Linked DNA regions of Saccharomyces cerevisiae S288C. The gene in region 2 interacts genetically with the main gene of each other region. Each region holds a gene or a part of one and is shown on either strand. Other genes may lie near its edges. The genes, in order: NAM2 and BI4.

Region 1 (5,076 bases), on a different chromosome or scaffold from region 2:
CGATGGCTTTCATCAGCTCGTTAGATATTTTAACTCAACTGTCGAAACAAACGAAGTCGGATTATGCGATCCAATATTTGATTGTGGGCCCTGACATCATGAATAAAGTGTTCAGTTCGGACGATCCTTTGCTATTATCAGCTGCGTGCAGGTACTTGGTTGCTACGAAAAATAAATTGATGCAATACCCGTCAACAAACAAATTCGTTCGGATGCAGAACCAATATATCATGGATTTGACAAATTATCTTTACAGGAATAAAGTTCTGTCATCCAAAAGTTTGTTTGGAGTCTCACCAGATTTCTTTAAGCAGATTTTGGAGAATCTTTATATCCCAACTGCAGACTTCAAGAACGCTAAATTTTTCACGATAACTGGTATACCAGCGCTATCCTACATATGTATTATTATTCTAAGACGACTGGAAACGGCCGAAAATACCAAAATAAAATTCACCAGTGGGATCATAAATGAAGAGACGTTTAACAATTTCTTTCGAGTTCATCATGATGAGATTGGCCAGCATGGTTGGATAAAGGGCGTTAATAACATTCACGACTTGAGAGTAAAGATTTTAATGCATTTGAGTAACACTGCTAATCCATATAGAGACATTGCAGCATTCTTGTTTACATATTTGAAGAGTCTCTCAAAGTATAGCGTTCAAAATTCTTAGAATATGCATCCACATTTATATACATATATATATATATATATATATTATAACTTCCAAAAAGGAGATTGGACAATTTATATCTATAAGGCATTAATATTTAACTATTTACAAGCACTAGTGGTAAATTCATGGCGTCATATGATTACTTGTGGAATAAGAAACTAATCACATTGAATTTCATGACAAATTTTTTGATTTTTTTATTCATCAAATACATTCTCCCTTCCGGTAAGTTCATCAAAGTTTCAATAACAGCATCCCTACCTAATTTCAAAAAGTTTTTGTCAGCCGTGTACATGAATTTGACTCTGCCATTTACCACAATTTGAAACTTTTTGAATTTGGACTCAGTAGTGCGCTCAACTTCTGGCCAGCGGTATTGGTTCCATTCCATTTGGGAGTTGATCATCTCTGCAGCTTCTTCTGAAATTGACGGGACAGCAGGATATATAACGGTTACCAACTTTTGTAAATTCTGTACTATCATTTCATTCCTTACTTCACCTTTTTTCAATGCACTTTCTAAAATATTGGTTAGCTTCATATAATCAGATATTACAGTGTTTAACGATAGATTAACTTCAAATGATTCCGTAATTGATTTCAAGAAGCGTTGGAAATCGTTGTGAAATTTCACTTCTGCATCATTTAAGTCGGTCGGGGTCTTGTAGTCTTTACTTATTGCCAAATCCTTCTCGAGACTGAGAATATTTTTGGTCAAATGAAGAACCTTCTGCAACCAACGTTCTATACCAACAATCTTGGATTCATCCCAATTCAGGGCATCTGCAATTGGACTTTGGAAGAGGATATGTGCTCTCGTAGCATCAGGTCCATGTCTTAAAATACATTCATTTGGATCTGCACCATTGTATTTAGATTTCGACATTTTTTCATAAGAGACTACCGGAACCTTGCCATTTGATTTAATAATCACTGTGTTGCCATCTGGAGAGTCATTTACAAAGGTTAACTCGTCAGGCTTCAAAAATTTACCAGAATCGGGGTCAACATAGGTTTTCCCTTGAACCATTCCTTGTGTCACCAGTTTTTTGAATGGTTCGAAGATGCCAGCAGGGTCGCTCCATGCATTGATAGATCCGAGAAATTTAGCAATAAACCTTGAGTATAACAAGTGTAAGATAGCATGTTCTACTCCACCAATATAAATATCAACCGGCATATTTTTACTTGCAATTTCACGATCAAATGGTTTTGAAGTGTTTTTGGGATCCAAGAATCTGAAATAATACCAAGAACTATCGATAAAAGTATCCATGGTGTCAGTTTCTCTTTTCGCAGGGCTCCCGCATGAAGGACAGGCGACATTTACAAATTCATCGATTGTGGACAGCGGATTCCCTTTTGTATCCAAGCCTTCAAGTTCTGGTAGCTTGACAGGTAGATCACTTTCTGGAACGGGGACAGGTCCACAGTTGTCGCAGTGAATGATGGGTATTGGAGTACCCCAGTATCTTTGTCTACTTATCAGCCAATCTCTAATTTTGTATCTAACGACGCTCTTAGACAGTCCTTCGCTATTCAACATCCCCATTATCGATTTCCTTGCCACTACAGTGAGAACTCCTGAGTGTTCTCCGCATTCTTTGGTTAGGACACCGTCAGTAGATGTGAACGGGACAGTATCAATTATTCTTTGTCTTTCCTGTTCAGTTACTTTTGAAGCATCGTCAAAAAAAGGTGCTATGCACGTCTTGATATGTTCACCAGGACAATTTGTTTGCCAAAACTCAAAATCTCGGTTATCGTGTCCTGGACAACCCATTACTGCACTAGGTGCTGAACCATAGCTGCTGACCACATATGGAGCTGCAAATATGGGGACTTCCTCTTTAGTTAAGGGATTTACGGCCTTTATGTTAGGTAACTGAAATCCTTCCTTCGTATCGTTTGGTAATTGATCACTTTTCTGTATAAACTCTTTTAAATCCGGCATTTCCTCGCAGTATTTTTGTACAATTGGGTGGTCTAATGCGAGAGCAACATACTGTACAGCAAAAAGAGTTTCCGGTCTTGTTGTAAAGACAATCAAGTTTTCAAATTTGGGGTCCGCAACTTTGAACACTAATTCTGCACCCACAGATTCGCCTATCCAATTTTTTTGCATTTGCTTCACGTTGGAAGGCCAGTCCTTCAGTTGGTTCAAGTGCTTTTTCAATTTAGGAGCGAATTTCGTTATTCCCAAAAACCACTGTTTTAGCTGCTTCTTTTCCACAATAGCCCCTGATCTCCAAGAACGGCCCTGGGCATCCACTTGTTCATTAGCCAAAACTGTCATATCAACGGGATCCCAATTAATTTCTGCTTCTTTACGATAAGCTAAGCCATTTTCAAAAAGTTTTAAGAAAATCCATTGGGTGAATTTATAGTATTCGGGATCACATGTAGTTATTTCTCTGTCCCAATCAAAATTTGCCAGCATACTTTGCATTTGTTGTTTCATTTTTGCAATATTGTCCCTAGTCCATATGGCCGGATTAATGCTTCTTTCTATAGCAGCGTTCTCGGCAGGTAACCCAAAAGCATCCCATCCCATCGGATGTATCACGTTGTACCCTTTTTGTTTGTAAAATCTATTCAAAGAGTCGCTAATGACATAAACTCGGAGATGTCCTATGTGAAGCGCCCCAGAAGGATATGGAAACTGGCACAGAATATATTTCGACCCGCTATTCAGAGTATCCTGCTTAGGCAAGCCACGGGTTGTCTTCTGTTTCCATTTCTCCCCAATTGCAATTAATTTTTTCACTGCAGGTCCAGGGCCCCTTTTAGTGGATAGGAATCGGCTTGAAGGTCGAGACAGCATTTTTCCACCGTACACACACGTCGATTTATTCACGTACAGACTCTACAATATAGAGTACTAGCGCCTTGTTTAACACTCTGCTGTGCTCCTTCCTCCAAGTTCTTGATTCTCCACCGGAGCAACAAAACGACTTTCTTCGGTTTCTTTGATTCTTCGCGGAGATAAGAAATGAGATTCTTGGATCAAAAAGTGTGTCAGAGGTAGGGAAATGTCAAGCAAGTTCATGAACAGACCAGGAGTAGTATGGCATGGTATTAAAGATTTTTCTGTGGTATTTGATAGTTAGGCAAAAGGAACATTTTCATCCAAGTTTTATCAAAATTTCTGTTTTATAGTGAAAATTCTAAGTTAAACTTGCCAAAAACGCGTCGCGTATACTAAATTTCAATGTTTGGATCTATCAACATGAATATTTATATTTCATGTAGTGAAGTTCATAATAAGAAAAAAAGACAAGAGGCATATAGGTTCGCAAGAGATAAGTAGCTGCTGTTAATAATAATAAAGAGCATATTCTTGTTAGATTGCTAAATGGTATGATTTCGACTACGATTAGTGGTAAAAGACCTATAGAGCAGGTTGATGATGAGCTACTTTCACTGACTGCGCAGCAGGAAAACGAAGAGCAGCAGCAGCAGAGAAAACGCAGACGTCATCAATTTGCCCCCATGACACAGTTTAACAGCAATACACTAGATGAAGACAGCGGGTTTAGGAGCTCCTCTGACGTGGCCACGGCGGATCAAGATAACTTTTTGGAAGAGTCACCTTCAGGATATATTAAGAAAGTGATCTTGCGAAACTTTATGTGCCATGAACATTTTGAACTTGAGCTTGGTTCTAGGCTGAATTTTATTGTTGGTAATAATGGTAGTGGTAAAAGTGCAATTTTGACCGCCATTACTATTGGTTTGGGAGCCAAGGCTAGCGAGACTAACAGAGGTTCCTCTTTGAAGGATTTGATTCGTGAAGGTTGTTATTCTGCTAAAATCATCCTTCATCTGGATAATAGCAAGTATGGTGCTTATCAGCAAGGTATTTTTGGTAACGAAATTATAGTAGAAAGGATAATTAAGAGAGATGGGCCCGCTTCTTTTAGTTTAAGGTCGGAAAACGGCAAGGAAATTAGCAATAAGAAAAAGGATATTCAGACGGTAGTGGACTATTTTTCTGTTCCTGTAAGCAACCCCATGTGTTTCCTGTCACAAGACGCTGCTAGGTCTTTCTTAACTGCTAGTACCTCACAGGATAAGTATAGCCATTTTATGAAGGGTACTTTACTTCAAGAAATTACCGAGAATTTGCTTTACGCCAGTGCTATTCACGATAGTGCACAAGAAAATATGGCTCTGCACCTGGAGAATTTGAAGTCTTTGAAAGCTGAATACGAAGATGCCAAAAAACTGTTAAGGGAATTAAATCAGACTTCAGACTTGAACGAAAGGAAAATGCTTTTGCAAGCGAAATCGTTATGGATCGATGTTGCCCATAATACAGATGCTTGTAAAAATTTAGAGAATGAAATCAGTGGCATTCAACAGAAAGTTGATGAAGTTACTGAGAAAATTAGGA
Region 2 (8,234 bases):
TATATTAATATCTTATTTGGGGATTAATATAATATATAAGTTTTGGATACCAGGCCAAAGACCGGAATCCCAAAAGGAGATTATATAAATATTATTTATCTCCCTTTTTTAATATTATAATAATTTTATTAAAAATAAAATAATAATAATAATTATAATTTATAATAACAATTATAATAATTTAATTAATTAATTAATTAATTAATTAATTAATTAATTAATTAATAATAAATATAAATATAAAAAGAATATAATTTATAATAAATAAATTTATATATATATATATATATTAAATAAAATATTTACTTCATTAATATAAAATATAAATATATTTAATTAATAAGTATATATATATAATAATATATAATAACCTATTTATATATATAATCTTAATATAATTATAAGAAATATTATATAAGTAATATATAAAAATAATATAAAATAATTATAATTCAATTTATATATTAATAGTTCCGGGGCCCGGCCACGGGAGCCGGAACCCCGAAAGGAGGAATAAGATAAATATATAAATTATATTAATAAATATAAATTTTAAATGAATTAATAAAATTAATATATATATGTATATATATATATATATTAAAAATATTTAATTATTTTTAGGAAGGAGTGATAGATCCCTTTGGGGGACCGAACCCCTATTTAAGAAGGAGTGCGGGACCCCGTGGGAACCGAACCCCTTTTTTATTTAAAGAAGAAGTTTTATTTTATTTTATTTTATTTTATTTTATTTTATTTTATTTTATTTTATTTTATTTTATTTAATTTAATTTTAATTAGGTTAATAAATAGTAATAATAAACTTAATAATAATAATAATAATTTTATTTTTATAATTTATTAATAATAATAATAATTATATATATATATATTATTAATAAATATAGACCTTATCGTCTAATGGTTACGACATCACCTCTTCATGTTGATAATATCGGTTCGATTCCGATTAAGGTTATTCATAATAATAAATATTTGTAAAAAAAGTATATATAATTAAACATATTCTTTATATTAATTAATAATTATTAATAATATACATTTTATATAATACAATTATATATATATATATATTTTTTTTTAATACAAATAATATATTCATAATAATAAATACCGATTGTTATTATACTATAATAAAATATATAATATATTTTTCATTATAATATTTTTAAATAAATATTATAATAAATTATATAAATAATATTTATGTATAATAATAATAATAATAATTGTTATTAATTAATTCTATAATTATTATATATTTAATTTTTTTTTTTAATATAATATATAATAATATAATTTATTTTATTTTTTTTTATAGTTCCGGGGCCCGGTCACGGGAGCCGGAACCCCGAAAGGAGAATATAAATTAATAATAATATAAATAACATATTAACAATAAATTATTGTTAATATAATAATAATAATAACAATATTAATAAATAATATAAAAATTATTAATATTATATTTATATAATATTAATATAAAAATCTTTCATAATATTAATTATTATTAAATAATAATGATATCATTAATATTAATATAATCGTCAATATTATTTATTTATTTATTTATTTATTTATTTATTTATTTATTTATTATTAAATAAATATTTTTAAATATTATATTATATTATTAACTTTTTATTAAAAAAATTAATAATGATATAATATAATTAATATTATCCACGGGACCAATGACCAACCCAGTAGTTGACCGGATTGGCGCCCGCGAGGTTTATATTTAATAAATAATAATAATAATATTAATAAAATCTATTAACTTTTTTTTTTAATGGATTATATTAATGAAAAAAAAATGAGAAATATCTTTTTTTTTTAATAATTATAATTTATATATAATAAAATATGTATATATAATAAAAAAATAGTTTTTAATATTATAATATAATTATATATATAATTATAAATATATATATATATAATAAGTATTAATTAATAATATATATTTATATATTTTTTATTAATTAATATATATAAAATATTAGTAATAAATAATATTATTAATATTTTATAAATAAATAATAATAATATGGCATTTAGAAAATCAAATGTGTATTTAAGTTTAGTGAATAGTTATATTATTGATTCACCACAACCATCATCAATTAATTATTGATGAAATATGGGTTCATTATTAGGTTTATGTTTAGTTATTCAAATTGTAACAGGTATTTTTATGGCTATGCATTATTCATCTAATATTGAATTAGCTTTTTCATCTGTTGAACATATTATAAGAGATGTGCATAATGGTTATATTTTAAGATATTTACATGCAAATGGTGCATCATTCTTTTTTATGGTAATGTTTATGCATATGGCTAAAGGTTTATATTATGGTTCATATAGATCACCAAGAGTACTATTATGAAATGTAGGTGTTATTATTTTCATTTTAACTATTGCTACAGCTTTTTTAGGTTATTGTTGTGTTTATGGACAGAGTGAGACAAGTATAAGTATATTATTATAATATCATACCATTAAATAAATTATTTTAATGAAATGATTATGTTTATATATAACATATACCTAATTAGACATGCATTATTAGTAATAATTTTGTATGAAACTCTAATAATAATAATTATTATTAATTATTAAGGTAAGATTCATATGGATAGCGTAAGTCAATCTAATATTATAAAATATCGTAACATAAACAATATTTTTTTCTATTATTAATTAATAAATAATAATAAATAAAAATAATTATATGAGAAGTAAGATATTCAATTCTGTCTAGAATACATATATATACGTTAATACTCATCGGTATAAAATTAGAATCCTAAGTGAATTATTGAAAGTATAATAATATAAACTTGGTAAGCCCAATTATTTCCATATAATATTAATATAAATATTATATGGTAGTTATATATAATATTATTAAATAAATAATAATAGAAATTATAATATAGATAAGTGGGTAAAAGACTATTGAAAAAGCTAAAGATTATATGTAATGTATAATATAGATCAAATTATTTATATATTTTAATAAAAATATATTAATAATGGTTAATATTATTATTAATTAATTAATTAATTAATTAATAATAATAACGAATAAATGATTAATGTGAAAGCATGCTAACTTCAATATAGGATGATTTATATAGTATATAAATTGTTTGAGCTGTATACTATGAAAGTAGTACGTACAGTTCTGAGTGGGGGAAAATTTGTAAAGATCTACCTATCACAATTGTCACATTGAGGTAATATAAATATCGCCTCAAATATATTTAATATAATAAAACTAATTTATATAATAATGTTAATATTATTAATTTATATTTTTTATACGATTATAATAAGACAAATAATAAAAACTAAAGAATATCTTATATTAATTAAGAGTATAGATTATATTAATAAAAATAAATATATAATTAATTTAAATATAACAAATAAGAAAGATATAAATAATAATATTGGTCCATTAAATATAAACATTTTATCAATTATTTATGGTTCAATATTAGGAGATGGTCATGCTGAAAAAAGAAAAGGTGGTAAAGGAACAAGAATTGTATTTCAACAAGAATATTGTAATATTAATTATTTATATTATTTACATAGTTTATTAGCTAATTTAGGTTATTGTAATACTAATTTACCTTTAATTAAAACTAGATTAGGTAAAAAAGGTAAAATTAGACAATATTTAAAATTTAATACATGAACTTATGATTCATTTAATATGATTTATTCAGAATGGTATATTAAAAATATATCTGGAAAAGGTAATATTAAAGTTATTCCTAAATCTTTAGACAATTATTTAACTCCTTTAGCTTTAGCTATTTGAATTATAGATGATGGATGTAAATTAGGTAAAGGTTTAAAATTCACAACTAATTGTTTTAGTTATAAAGATGTTCAATATTTACTTTATTTATTACATAATAAATATAATATTAAATCTACTATTCTTAAAGGCAATAAAGAAAATACACAATTTGTTATTTATGTATGAAAAGAATCTATACCTATTTTAACTAAAATTGTATCTCCTTATATTATTCCTAGTATAAAATATAAATTAGGTAATTATTTATAATAAAATATATAGTATTATATTAATTATTATATTATTATAATGCGATATTATTGAAAACATGTCAAAATTATATTATTAAGTAACAAGACAGTGGGTTATATAATTATATGATCCCAACAGAATACACCAATAATAGGTATTATTATAAAAAAAATAATAATATTTAATGTTTATTCGAAGAAAATTTATAATATTATTATTATAACACAAGGTTTAATAATCTATATATATATATTATATATATAACTACTGTTATTATTCCATTTACCTAATTAATATATAAATAATGAATTATAATTATTATGATTAATATTTTTATAATAATAACCCCATCATAACATTTATATATAACATTTATATATAACATTTATATATAATATTTATATTATGGTATTATTAGGTATAAATATTTATTCATAAGAGAAAATAGTGATTAAATGGAATTATAAAAAGGGTAGATATTATTAAATACAGGGTATTATTTATATTAATAAATCAATAAATATTGAGATTATTATTATTAAAAAATAATAATAATTTATAAATAATATTATTTTCTTGGCACTAGTTATTACTAATTTATTCTCAGCAATTCCATTTGTAGGTAACGATATTGTATCTTGATTATGAGGTGGGTTTAATATAGAGGATCCATATTATAGTAATATAATATTAAATAAATCTGTTTTATGCTGAAATATCTTCATTTGAATAATAAATTACTATATTATTCAATTAATTATTTATAATAATATAATTTGAAATAAAAATAATATAGTTAAAATATTTATTATAAGAAGAAAATTAGCAGTAATTAATATATATATATATATAAAATTAATTATTCAGAGACTTTATAGTTATTATATAAATAATACTATTATTTATGATAAAAATCATAAATTAAACACAGATAATCCTATTTATGCATATATTGGTGGTTTATTTGAAGGAGATGGTTGAATTACTATTTCAAAAAAAGGTAAATATTTATTATATGAATTAGGTATTGAAATACATATTAGAGATATTCAATTATTATATAAAATTAAAAATATTTTAGGTATTGGTAAAGTAACAATTAAAAAATTAAAAATAAAAGATGGTACTATTAAAGAAATATGTAAATTTAATGTAAGAAATAAAAATCATTTAAAGAATATTATTATTCCTATTTTTGATAAATATCCTATATTAACTAATAAACATTATGATTATTTATATTTTAAAGATAATTTATTAAAAGATATTAAATATTATAATGATTTATCTTATTATTTACGTCCTATTAAACCATTTAATACTCTTGAAGATATTTTAAATAAAAATTATTTTTCTTCATGATTAATTGGTTTTTTTGAAGCTGAAAGTTGTTTTAGTATTTATAAACCTATAAATAAAAAAATAAAACTTGCTAGTTTTGAAGTATCTCAAAATAATAGTATAGAAGTTATATTAGCTATTAAATCATATTTAAAAATTACTCAAAATATTTATACAGATAAATTTAATAATTCAAGAATAACACTTAAAAGTATTAATGGTATTAAAAATGTTGTAATATTTATTAATAATAACCCTATTAAATTATTAGGTTATAAAAAATTACAATATTTATTATTCTTAAAAGATTTACGTCTTATTCTTAAATATAATAATTATTTTAAAATTCCTCCTAAATATTAATCTTATATAAAAATATAATAATAATATATTTATATATTATATAATTATATAAACAAAATATAATTTATATATAATTATTTATTATAAATATAGTCCGGCCCGCCCCGCGGGGCGGACCCCGGAGGAGTGAGGGACCCCTCCCTATTCTAACGGGAGGGGGACCGAACCCCGAAGGAGTTTAATTATATATTAAATATATTATTATCAATAAATAATTCCTTTGAACTATTTATTATTTTATTATATTTATTTTCTCCTTCATTATTAATTTTTATTAATAATTAAAATCTTATCATTTTATGGTATTTTTATTTCTATTTTAGGATATCGAAACTATAAATTAAAAAGTATAATTTTATTAATTATAATTTATGATTAATAAATAAGAAATAAAAACTTTAGAAGTAATATTTATCTTTTTTTTTTATAAATAAATATTATGATTAATATATAATCATTTATAAATATTTATATATAATTATATATATACATAAATAGGATTAAGATATAGTCCGAACAATATAGTGATATATTGATAATAGTTTTCAAATATGTAACTATTTAAACATTAAAAGCTCAGTATCTAACCCTCTAATCCAGAGATTCTTTGCGTTACATTATTTAGTACCTTTTATCATTGCTGCAATGGTTATTATGCATTTAATGGCATTACATATTCATGGTTCATCTAATCCATTAGGTATTACAGGTAATTTAGATAGAATTCCAATGCATTCATACTTTATTTTTAAAGATTTAGTAACTGTTTTCTTATTTATGTTAATTTTAGCATTATTTGTATTCTATTCACCTAATACTTTAGGTCAAAATATGGCCTTATTATTAATTACATATGTAATTAATATTTTATGTGCTGTATGCTGGAAATCTTTATTTATTAAATATCAATGAAAAATTTATAATAAAACTCTATATTATTTTATTATTCAAAATATTTTAAATACAAAACAATTAAATAATTTCGTATTAAAATTTAATTGAACAAAGCAATATAATAAAATAAATATTGTAAGTGATTTATTTAATCCCAATAGAGTAAAATATTATTATAAAGAAGATAATCAGCAGGTAACCAATATAAATTCTTCTAATACTCACTTAACGAGTAATAAAAAGAATTTATTAGTAGATACTTCAGAGACTACACGCACACTAAAAAATAAATTTAATTATTTATTAAATATTTTTAATATAAAAAAAATAAATCAAATTATTCTTAAAAGACATTATAGTATTTATAAAGATAGTAATATTAGATTTAACCAATGATTGGCCGGTTTAATTGACGGAGATGGTTATTTTTGTATTACTAAAAATAAATATGCATCTTGTGAAATTCTTGTAGAATTAAAAGATGAAAAAATGTTAAGACAAATCCAAGATAAATTTGGTGGTTCTGTAAAATTAAGATCAGGTGTTAAGGCTATTAGATATAGATTACAAAATAAAGAAGGTATAATTAAATTAATTAATGCCGTTAATGGTAATATTCGTAATAGTAAAAGATTAGTACAATTTAATAAAGTATGTATTTTATTAAATATCGATTTTAAAGAACCTATTAAATTAACTAAAGATAATGCTTGATTTATAGGGTTCTTTGATGCTGATGGTACTATTAATTATTATTATTCCGGTAAATTAAAAATTAGACCTCAATTAACTATTAGCGTTACAAATAAATATTTACATGATGTTGAATACTATAGAGAAGTATTTGGTGGTAATATTTATTTTGATAAAGCTAAAAATGGTTATTTTAAATGATCTATTAATAATAAAGAATTACATAATATTTTTTATCTTTATAATAAAAGTTGTCCTTCTAAATCTAATAAAGGTAAACGTTTATTTTTAATTGATAAATTTTATTATTTATATGATTTATTAGCTTTTAAAGCACCTCATAATACTGCTTTATATAAAGCTTGATTAAAATTTAATGAAAAATGAAATAATAATTAAATTTTCTCCGTATTCATTATTATATTATCTAATTTATAAAATATTTAAAGATTCCTTATAATAATATAACATCTTTGTAAATTATTGTTAAAGATAATATAAATTATTATGAATCGGTAGATTATATTTTTACAATCTTATTAAATAAAATTCTGATCATTAAACATGATTGAAGAAATAATAATAGTTTATGAAATAAGATAGTGTAATATAAATTTTTATGAAGATATAGTCCATTTTATATTTATTATAAAAGCATCCTGATAACTATATTCCTGGTAATCCTTTAGTAACACCAGCATCTATTGATATTAAAAATATTAATAAAATTATTATTATTTAATCTTATTTATTTTATATAAAAAAAATAAATAATAATTATTAATAAAAATATATTATTTATTTCTCCTTTCGGGGTTATTTATATATATTCCTTTATAATTTATAT

What was found.
Region 1: of BI4 (region 2) and NAM2, changing one suppresses a phenotype caused by changing the other (phenotypic suppression), as found in Saccharomyces cerevisiae (one study listed by BioGRID).

What each region holds. Positions count from the first base shown.
Region 1 is NC_001144.5:881,248-886,323, forward strand, and holds NAM2 (leucine--tRNA ligase NAM2), read right to left. Parts: upstream 3,505-5,076; coding exon 820-3,504; downstream 1-819. Other genes in the region: CTF3 (Ctf3p), read left to right, coding at 1-677; DNA repair protein SMC6, read left to right, coding at 4,041-5,076. UniProt on the Saccharomyces cerevisiae protein: Catalyzes the attachment of leucine to tRNA(Leu) in the mitochondrion.
Region 2 is NC_001224.1:34,466-42,699, forward strand, and holds BI4 (intron-encoded RNA maturase bI4), read left to right. Parts: upstream 1-2,074; coding exon 2,075-2,489; intron 2,490-3,257; coding exon 3,258-3,271; coding exon of another isoform or gene 3,272-4,114; intron 4,115-4,675; coding exon 4,676-4,752; coding exon of another isoform or gene 4,753-5,800; intron 5,801-6,375; coding exon 6,376-7,786; downstream 7,787-8,234. Other genes in the region: cytochrome b mRNA maturase bI3, read left to right, coding at 2,075-2,489, 3,258-3,271, 4,676-5,800; cytochrome b mRNA maturase bI2, read left to right, coding at 2,075-2,489, 3,258-4,114; COB (cytochrome b), read left to right, coding at 2,075-2,489, 3,258-3,271, 4,676-4,752, 6,376-6,625, 8,043-8,093. UniProt on the Saccharomyces cerevisiae protein: Mitochondrial mRNA maturase required for splicing of intron 4 of the cytochrome b (COB) gene, containing its own coding sequence, and intron 4 in COX1, coding for the related homing endonuclease aI4.